Bombyx mori: one gene and its partners. The protein of the gene in region 1 interacts with the protein of each later gene in a biochemical or structural test. Links are inferred from orthologs where the notes say so. Each region holds a gene or a part of one and is shown in the gene's direction. Other genes may lie near its edges.

The links.
Region 2: the proteins of cullin-3-A (region 1) and kelch-like protein diablo form a complex in vitro, tested with the Homo sapiens proteins (2 studies listed by BioGRID and IntAct). The link is inferred for Bombyx mori from reciprocal best matches to the Homo sapiens genes CUL3 and KLHL20.
Region 3: the proteins of cullin-3-A (region 1) and ubiquitin-conjugating enzyme E2M form a complex in vitro, tested with the Homo sapiens proteins (2 studies listed by BioGRID, with this or other methods). The link is inferred for Bombyx mori from reciprocal best matches to the Homo sapiens genes CUL3 and UBE2M.

The regions. Positions count from the first base shown.
Region 1 is NC_085110.1:9,634,137-9,637,801, forward strand, and holds part of cullin-3-A, read left to right. Parts: intron 1-651; coding exon 652-846; intron 847-1,321; coding exon 1,322-1,498; intron 1,499-1,578; coding exon 1,579-1,749; intron 1,750-2,976; coding exon 2,977-3,084; intron 3,085-3,632; coding exon 3,633-3,665. UniProt on the Homo sapiens protein: Core component of multiple cullin-RING-based BCR (BTB-CUL3-RBX1) E3 ubiquitin-protein ligase complexes which mediate the ubiquitination and subsequent proteasomal degradation of target proteins.
Region 2 is NC_085110.1:681,945-685,609, forward strand, and holds part of kelch-like protein diablo, read left to right. Parts: intron 1-611; coding exon 612-780; intron 781-1,281; coding exon 1,282-1,461; intron 1,462-3,294; coding exon 3,295-3,646; intron 3,647-3,665. UniProt on the Homo sapiens protein: Substrate-specific adapter of a BCR (BTB-CUL3-RBX1) E3 ubiquitin-protein ligase complex involved in interferon response and anterograde Golgi to endosome transport.
Region 3 is NC_085121.1:6,067,316-6,069,494, reverse strand, and holds the end of ubiquitin-conjugating enzyme E2M, read left to right. Parts: intron 1-134; coding exon 135-302; intron 303-1,187; coding exon 1,188-1,328; 3' UTR 1,329-1,677; downstream 1,678-2,179.

The DNA.
Region 1 (3,665 bases):
TCATTTCATTTTACTCCATCTTATAATTTTTCATAAAAATAAGAATATACATTATAATAAGACATGACTTAAAGGTCTTAGTTATCAGGTCATAAAATCACTTAAAAAAAAAAAGAAGATATTAAGCCTTCGTCAAACAGAACGCGTACTTAGCGCCGCGTTTTAACATCGCGCTCTTTTCCTTTCACACAAATTGACTAGATGGGTCCAACGCTCCTTGAGGCAACGCATTCGCCAAATCATAGTGCCTTTCGATAGCAATGTGAAAATTTAAAAGTATTAAGATGTCGAGTGATTCAAATGTGGCATTGTATAAGCATGGGCATTTTCTAACTATTTCTCTCAATTTTTCGGGCATTATCTAGTATTTTTATACACATTCACTCGGACGCTAAAATAAAATTTGTAAAAAATTACGCCTGACGTCAAAGCGTCCTAACGCCGCGACAGAGCGTTGCGTACTTATAGCGCTGGGGCTCTGTTTGACGGTATGTTACCATAGTAGTACAACACATCTCGGCGTCATAGCGCGCCGTCGGTTTAGCGCTCTGACGCGTGCTAATTACGCGTTCTGTTTGACGAAGCCTTTACAGTTATCGATATTCATTACGCAATAGTGAAGACAGTAAGGATTCGGTTCTTTGTGTTCAGATGGAGAACTCTGGCGTGGTGCACATGTTGACGCACACGCGCACGTCGGAGCTGGGCTGCGTGTACAAGCTGCTGTCGCGCGTCGGGGAGGGGCTGCGCACGGTGGCCGACGCCGTGTCCGCGCACCTCCGCGAGCAGGGCCGCGCGCTCGTCACCGACACGCTGCACAACACCAACGCCATCGCATACGTTCAGGTGCGTACGTACGGACACGACAAAACAGGATATATATCGACGCTTGAAAGGCGAACGTGACTAAACGACAATAACTGCTTTATACATAAATGATAGGCAATAACCATATTCGATGCGCAAAATATATATATATTTCTAGGTCTATTAAAATCATTTCAATCCTACAGCTACTAGCTAGATTTGTTAAAATAAATTTTGTTTTCAGGTGTTTCAACTTTAAATTAGTCTACTGTAAAGTTCACGAATTGTCGCTTACTCACGTTTGCCTTTCAAGCGTCGATATAGTTTTAAAATCGTATTTCAAAAATAAATACCCGAAACAAATTATTTAATACCCCTCTTTAACTGCGAAAACTGCCATAATATGTTTAAGTATACTCAATCTGTAGCTGTTGTTATGCACACATGAAAAAGTTCTGTTTATTCAATTATATGTAATAGACTGATTAACTAGAGGTTATTTCAATTCTTCCAGAACCTTCTTGATCTAAAGGACCGATTTGACCATTTCCTACAAAATTCATTCAACAACGATAAAATATTCAAGCACATGATCACGTCAGACTTCGAATACTTCCTTAACTTGAATAATAAGTCACCGGAATTCTTGTCATTGTTCATTGATGGAAAATTAAAGAAAGGCGAAAAGGGGGTAAGTATTAAAATAACATTTCACAAATTCTGTTCACGAATCTAGTTCCGCAATTCTACAACATGCGTTCTCTATTACAGATGAGCGAACAGGAAATCGAAGCTGTGCTGGATAAAACAATGGTACTATTCCGATTTTTACAAGAGAAGGACGTTTTCGAACGTTATTATAAACAGCATCTAGCGAAACGGCTCTTACTCAATAAGTCTGTCTCTGATGACAGTGAAAAGAACATGATCTCCAAACTTAAGGTCAGTATTCTATAATGTACGATATTTTATATCATCTTAGAACTTTGATAATAAATAAGTATTTTGTAACATACGAAATGGAACAGAGTGTATTGAAAGTGTGCATCGGTTGGTATCACTGCCCTTCCTATTTTACCGCGATTCAATCATGCGTTCAAGTTTGATAATTTCTCGAGAAAATTAGAGCCTAAATATCATACAAATGCACTCATATTTGCTACGAAAATTTGTGCTGCCTGATTATTTAGAATTAAACTACTAGACACACTATACTACATTTTGTACCTATATATGGTGTTAGTTTTTTAATCAAACATAACTAATTAATTTTGAAGTTACTCCATACAATGAATATCATTATCATTTAACCAGAACGAAGGGTTATTGAGGGATGTGGAACTCCGCGACTATCACTGCATTATCGGTGACTTTTCGCAAATTGAAAACTAGAACAGTGACCGTTAACACATCACAATAACACGACCCGTTCTATTGTGCCTGTTTAAATTTGCAAAATTCTTTACCATATGGATATATTCGTTTGTGAGTCCAAGTATTTTTTCAATGTATTTCAAGTAAGTTTTAAACGTAGAACTTGCTTAAAGTCTTCTGTGGGACTTCTAATTGTGATTTGCTTTAAAATATTTAAAAGGAAAATGTAAAGAATTTTGCAGATGTAAATGTAAACAGACTTTAAGCAGGTGATTGTAAAAAAAAGGTAGAATAGTTAATAGAAATAAATCCTAATGAGTAATAATAAGTTCCTACTTTTTTTCAAAGATATTCATAAAGTAGATGTTTATTGTCGAGCAAAAGATAAAAACTATTTAATTAGTATACAGAAAACAGACAACTATGGTCCGACGAGTTTATAAAAAAAGACAGCTAATATTTATCTATCACACAATTGTGTTGTATTTTTAATTTGTATATCTTAAACTGTATCCTTAGGTGTTCACCTAATTTTTCTAAATAACCTTAATACTTTTCTTTCGTCGACGTTGGGAAGTCGATGTGCTGTAATCCCGCCCGGAACAACATCACCAGCCTGTCTGCTTCTGCCGTAAAGCAATCGTAAATTCCTAATTAACACACTAGGACAAGGGACCGTTCTTCCTCCATTCATATTGTGGTGTCGTGTGACGCCCGCACGTTGGGAGCATCAAACGAAATCGTCGACTCATATGCTTGTCGTATTTAATAAACCCTTTCTTTGTTTCGTTTTAGACTGAGTGTGGTTGTCAGTTCACATCAAAATTAGAGGGTATGTTCAAGGATATGACCGTCTCTAACACCATCATGGATGAATTTAAGGAACACGTGCTCTCTAGTGGGGTAAGTTTATTTACCTACATAATCTGTTCGAATCGTTTGGAACCTCTGGGTCTGCGGAGGGACTTCGGTTCCCTCTGTATTTTGTACCGTATGTTCCATAGGGAGTGCTCTGAGGAATTGTTCGAGATGATACCGGCATCTCGTTTTTACCATCGCACCGCCCGCCACCGGAGTAGAGTTCATCCATACTACCTGGAGCCACTGCGGTCATCCACAGTGCGTTTCCAGAGGTCTTTTTTGCCACGTACCATCCGGCTATGGAATGAGCTCCCCTCCACGGTATTTCCCGAGCGCTATGACATGTCCTTCTTCAAACGAGGCTTGTGGAGAGTATTAAGCGGTAGGCAGCGCCTTGGCTCTGCCCCTGGCATTGCTGAAGTCCATGGGCGACGGTAACCAGTGTTGGACTCCCTAATAATAATGACAATAAATAATAATGTTAATTTTAAATGCCCAGCGAAGCGGGCGAGTACGGCTAGTACTATATAAAAATAAGACATTTTCGTCGTTAAACACTTATGCATGTAAAGAACAGTGCGCATTCACAGCTGAACTTGTACGGAGTGGATCTGTCCGTCCGA
Region 2 (3,665 bases), about 9.0 Mb from region 1:
ATCTTCCTTGGAGGTTCTCGGGTATCTGTTAGCCAATCCCACTCCTCCTGGTTGAGACCTTGCTGGCCCAACTGTCTTGGTGAAACTGCAAAGGTCACCAGTAATCCCTCTAACATAAAAAAGCGCACTTTTATCGTTTCCTAGATGTCTGTTAGTTCGTACCTCGTCTACTGCTAATCGCCTCTTATAGCGAATCTGGTTGTTTTTGTAGTGCCCCGTAGGTGGCTACTAAATTAAGAAATGAATGTTGCTACTTCTTCTTCTATATCGTTCCCTCACTACTGAGGATCGCGACCACATGCGATGTACTTCCAATGCACCCGATCATGGGTGGCATGGACTGCATGGTACAGACTACCACCGAGTGCTTCTCTTGCTAGATCTGACCATCTGGCTGGTGTTCTGCCCACGGCGCGCTTGCCTTCTATTCGACCCGTAATTTTGAGCTTCTCTAATTCATGTCTGTGAGACCGCATGATGTGTCCGAAGAAGCTCATAACATAATGTTGCTACAGAACCTATTTAATTTGACAATATCTGATAAAAGATATCAGAAATTGCGAGAAGCCATATAATCGATTCTCATATCCTTGAAAAATGCCTGGGAACAGAGTAATCCTATCAGCATGCAGCCCGTACTTCCGAGCGATGTTCACTGGGGAACTGGCCGAGTCTCGCGCCACCGAAGTCACGATCCGGGACGTGGACGAGCAGGCCATGGAGCAGCTCGTGGAGTTCTGCTACACCGCGCACATCGTCGTCGAGGAGAGTAACGTGCAGGTACTACACGATGTGCCTATAGTAGGTAGCAGCATGTAGCAGACGAGGTGGTGTCTTGTTTGTTGTTTATATTTTATTGCTTTATTGCTTAGCTTTGTGGAAGAGCTCACAGCCCACCTGGTGTTAAGTGGTCACTGGAGCCCATAGACATCTAGAACGTAAATGCGCCACCCACCTTGAGATATAAGTTCAAAAGTCTCAAGTATAGTTACAACCTTCAAACCGAAACGCACTACTGTTTCACGGCAGAAATAGGCAGGGTGGTGGTACCTACCCGCGCAGGCTCACAATAGGACCATCAGTAAAAAAGTTTGTATAAAAGTTTAGACTATTACCAAGTTCAATCCTTGGGTTTTTCAGGAGCACCTTTTGTGTGTTGCTTTCACTGTGCGTCGACCTTTAGCGGCATACTGATGTCGGTAATGAAAGGGCGGGCTTGTCAATTGTAAGCCATACAGATTGGCATTGAATTTGGAAAGTAATACGGTCTTCATCGCTCAGGCCCTGCTCCCGGCTGCGTGCCTGCTGCAGCTGCAAGAGATCCAGGACGTGTGCTGCGAGTTCCTCAAGCGTCAGCTGGACTGCTCCAACTGCCTCGGCATCAGAGCCTTCGCCGACACCCACTCGTGTCGGGAACTGCTCCGGATCGCCGATAAATTCACACAACAGAACTTCCCAGAGGTGCGCTCTATTGTCTTTAAGCAGATGTATCTCTCTAACATGTTCTTCATTTGCACCTGTTCCCTCGGGAGTTCCTCAGGGCTCTCATCTCGGTCCTATGTTATTTAATATATATATGTCAATGACGTTTCAAATGTTTTCAATAAATCCAAATTCATTATGTACGCCGATGACAAAAAAGTATATAAAGTTATAAAGTCCTTAAATGACTGTTTGGAATTACAAGATGATTTGAACAACTTATTTGTTTACTGTCAAAATAACTTACTCACAGTGAATACTAACAAGTGTACTATTATAACATTCTCACGTGGAAGATCGAATATCTTGTATGACTATTCTATTAATGGTCAAACTTTGGTACGCACCACAGTTGTTCGTGATTTGGGTATTTATTTGGATTCCAGTCTGATTTTTGATGTTCATGTTAATGAAATAGTAAATAAGGCTATTCGAATGTTAGGCTTCATACTTAGAGTTGGTAAAGAATTTAAAAGACCATCTACTTTGATTCTGTTGTACAACAGTTTTGTACGGTCTATATTGGAATATGGCTCCGTCACATGGAATCCCCAATATAATATTTATATTCAGCGACTAGAAAGAGTCCAAAAAAAGTTTTTTAAGCATCTTTTATACCATTGTCGGCGCTCTCCAGAACCGACAGAATTTGTATCTCTAGTCGATCGTAGGCTACTGAGGGATCAAATGTTTTTATATAAAATAATAAATAACGAGATTGATTCTAGCTATCTTCTTTCCAAAATTTCATTTAAATGTAGTCGTATTTCCGCGCGTTCTAAACAGACCTTTCACATGTCCACGGCTCGAACGAAATATGCATCTAACTCTTTTGTCCGTAGATCTTGTAGGTTGTATGATGCTAAGTTCTCTAATGCTGACATCTTTTGCTTGTCACTTGTAGCATATAGAAAAGCTATTTTAAAACAGTTATAAGGTGATTTAGGCTCGATAAGTAGTATAGTTGATGTATAAAATAATATGTGCGTATTGTGTTGCTTTTGTTTGTTTGTTTTTTTGTAATTTAAATTTCTAAATTTCTCTTCTTGTTCACTCTCTACTTATATGTGATTTTGATTGTGGAAACATATTTGGTTATTGTTTTAGCTATATTTTTTTAAATATTATATGTTTGTATTGTACTGTTTGTTTCCCAAATAAATAAATAAATAAATAAACATTGGATGACAGCTGCTCTTCCAGCAAAGTGCTCCGGGACTCCAGTCTATAGAAATTCATTTCCTATCAAACTTTCAAGTGATGACAATCAATACTACCTTAATATTAAACATAAATTATATAAATGTTTGTTGTCCATCTAAAAGGTCAATTGGTTAGTGACACTGACTATAGTATATTTCCATGCGATTTGCATTCAATACACGATTGTACTCAATGCTTCTGTGAAAGATGGGTTGTATTCTCGATGTACTTTTTTGTTCTATAAGTTTCCAGCAAACATAACACAGAGGGAGTATAGTTTGACATAGGAGCTTGAGGGCCCTTCAATGTAGAACACTAATTTATTAAATTATGATAGCTTTGTAATTGTAATTAAAAAGAAGCGAATCACTGACAGGGTTCAATGCCACTGTTGTTAATATGTCGAATGCATCTGTTTGATAAAAAGCTATAGTATGTGCCATCCATACAACAGTATGGTGATTTTGGAATAGTTCTCCGTCAGGAACAGAACTACTATTATATCAATTATAAAATATATAAATACTTCTGATATCTAATAGTATAGTTACTGCACTAGCTAGTTACAAACAACAGAAAGATGCAATTGCACTGGATTTTTGTCTGCAGGTGATGGAGAGTGAAGAGTTCTTACTGCTGCCCGCCTCGCAGCTGATCGACATCGTGTCCTCGGACGAGCTGAACGTTCGCTCGGAGGAGCAGACTTTCCAGGCCGTCATGTCCTGGGTCAAGTACAACGTGGCCGAGCGGCGGCAGCACCTGGCGCAGGTGCTCCAGCACGTCCGACTGCCGCTGCTGAGTCCCAAGTTCCTGGTGGGCACCGTCTCCTCGGAGCTGCTGATCCGCTCCGACGACGCCTGCCGCGACCTGCTGGACGAGGCCAAGAACTACCTGCTGCTGCCGCAGGAGCGTCCGCTCATGCAGGGACCTAGGACTCGGCCCAGGAAGCCTACCAGGCGTGGTACGGCCCAACGTGCCAA
Region 3 (2,179 bases), on another chromosome or scaffold:
TGTTATCTCCGATAAATATTACGTAGATAATACCATATCGGCCGTAAGCTGAAGTATTCTAGAAATGCTAAAACACTTTAGTAGATAGTAAGTAACTTGTATCTTTCTAACAAATATTTTTAACCAATTTTCAGGTAGGACCAAATTATCCTCACGAGCCGCCCAAAGTCAAATGTGAAACAGCAGTTTATCATCCTAACATAGACCTCGAAGGCAACGTGTGCCTGAATATACTCAGGGAAGATTGGAAACCTGTTCTCACAGTTAACTCCATAGTGTACGGTCTCCAGTATTTATTCTTGGTAAGCCCACTAAATTGATATAAAGACATAGCAATTAAGAACTTCTCATCAAACAGTTTTCTTTTTTTGGTTTTTCTTTTCCAGAAATTGACAAGTTTTGGTGTAATTATGATTATTTTCGTTTTTTTTTTTATTTCAACCTTTCAAATACTTCAATTTTCGTATTCACCGACAACTGTGAGTCTTTAAAGTATTTTTAATTATGTGTAGGACTCACGAAAACCAACGAAATAACTGCTGGTTATGGTTTGATGAAAAAGTTTATGTTTGAAGTAATATTAAATTTAGAAAAATGTATTAATCTCAAGAATGTTTCGGAATCTGAAGAAATTTACTGTACAAAATGCTCTTTTATCAAACTTAGGGCTGCCGATAAAAATCATAACTATAAAAATATTCGTATATTAGCAGTACTCGTAAAGATAAATATAATGAGATTAGATGGGAAAGTCGCTATTCGTCCGTCATCACACGTATTGCATTTTTATCTATTTTGGTGTACAATAACGCATACTCTCTCTTTCATTCACGGTATTGTATTTTATTTTTATCCAGTTTACGTGTACTTGTATAGTCTTGTATAATTGTATCCTATAACTCTCTGTGGAGAGAGTTCTTTGACGAATTGAGAAAATTTCATCATTTTCATTTTATCTTCGCACGAACTGTCAGCAAAGCTTATCTATACTCGCGCCACCCACCTCGAGATATACGTTCTAAGGTCTCAAGTAATAGTTCAACGGCTGCCCCACCCTTCAAACCGAAACGCATTACTGCTTCACGGCCGAAATAGGCAGGGCGGTGGTACCCACCCCCGCGCAGACTCACAAGAGGTCCTACCACCAGTAAAAAACATGTATTGGAATTGTTTTTTTTTTTTTTTAGGAACCAAACCCTGAAGATCCCCTCAACAAGGAAGCAGCTGACGAGCTCCAAAGCAACAGGCGACTTTTCGAACAACACGTTCAGAGAGCTATGCGAGGCGGCTACGTCGGCACATCTTATTTCGAACGATGCCTCAAATGAAAACCTGCACACGTGTAAAAAATGCTAACAACCATATAAATAATAATAAAATCTCATTTTAATGTTTTTCTATTGTTTCGTTTTTATTTATTTAATATTGTTTTTAAAAAAAGCCATCTCTAATGCCATGCCCAACAAGATATCTAAAGTACAATTATTATATTGAGAAATCGTTTAATTCACTTGAATTTCTCTTATAATAATTTCATAACAAAATATACGAGTCGTATCGATCGATCCTATATTTTTCGAGTTGATATCAAATTCAAACACAGTTATGTCTTCATAGTTAAACTTAAAAAAATGTCGCTAGTGGCGCTTAGGTCATTGTAAATAAAGAACTGCATTCAACAATTCTTTCATTTGAATACCTAAGTATATTTGTGATGTTGACTAATCCTTATCGGATGGGTAACTAGTAACTATAAATGTACTTTTCTAGTTATATACCAAACTATTACTCTGCTAGTTGGTGGATGAGATAGCATACACAATACATGAGTAAATGCATGTAGTATGCTGTAAGTATCTAACAAACCACTAAATACTTACTAAATAGTGAAGAATTCGATAAAAAGAGAAGGAAGGATTTAATTGATATGATTGAATTGATTTAGTGACACAAACGAATGTTTTAAAACCAATCCTAGTAGGTGGCACCGATGACGTCTGATCTGGCATCTATGCTAGTAAAAATACATTTGAGAATGCGGCTACCTACCCGAATTTTTAAGTCTACAAATAGCGTTCGTAAAATCAAACAAAAGCTTAAAATTTTGCACTGAAATATTTATTCCTTTTTTTTTAAATGGAATTACCGTCTGATAGCAGCGGGTAGGAAAAAACTTTAA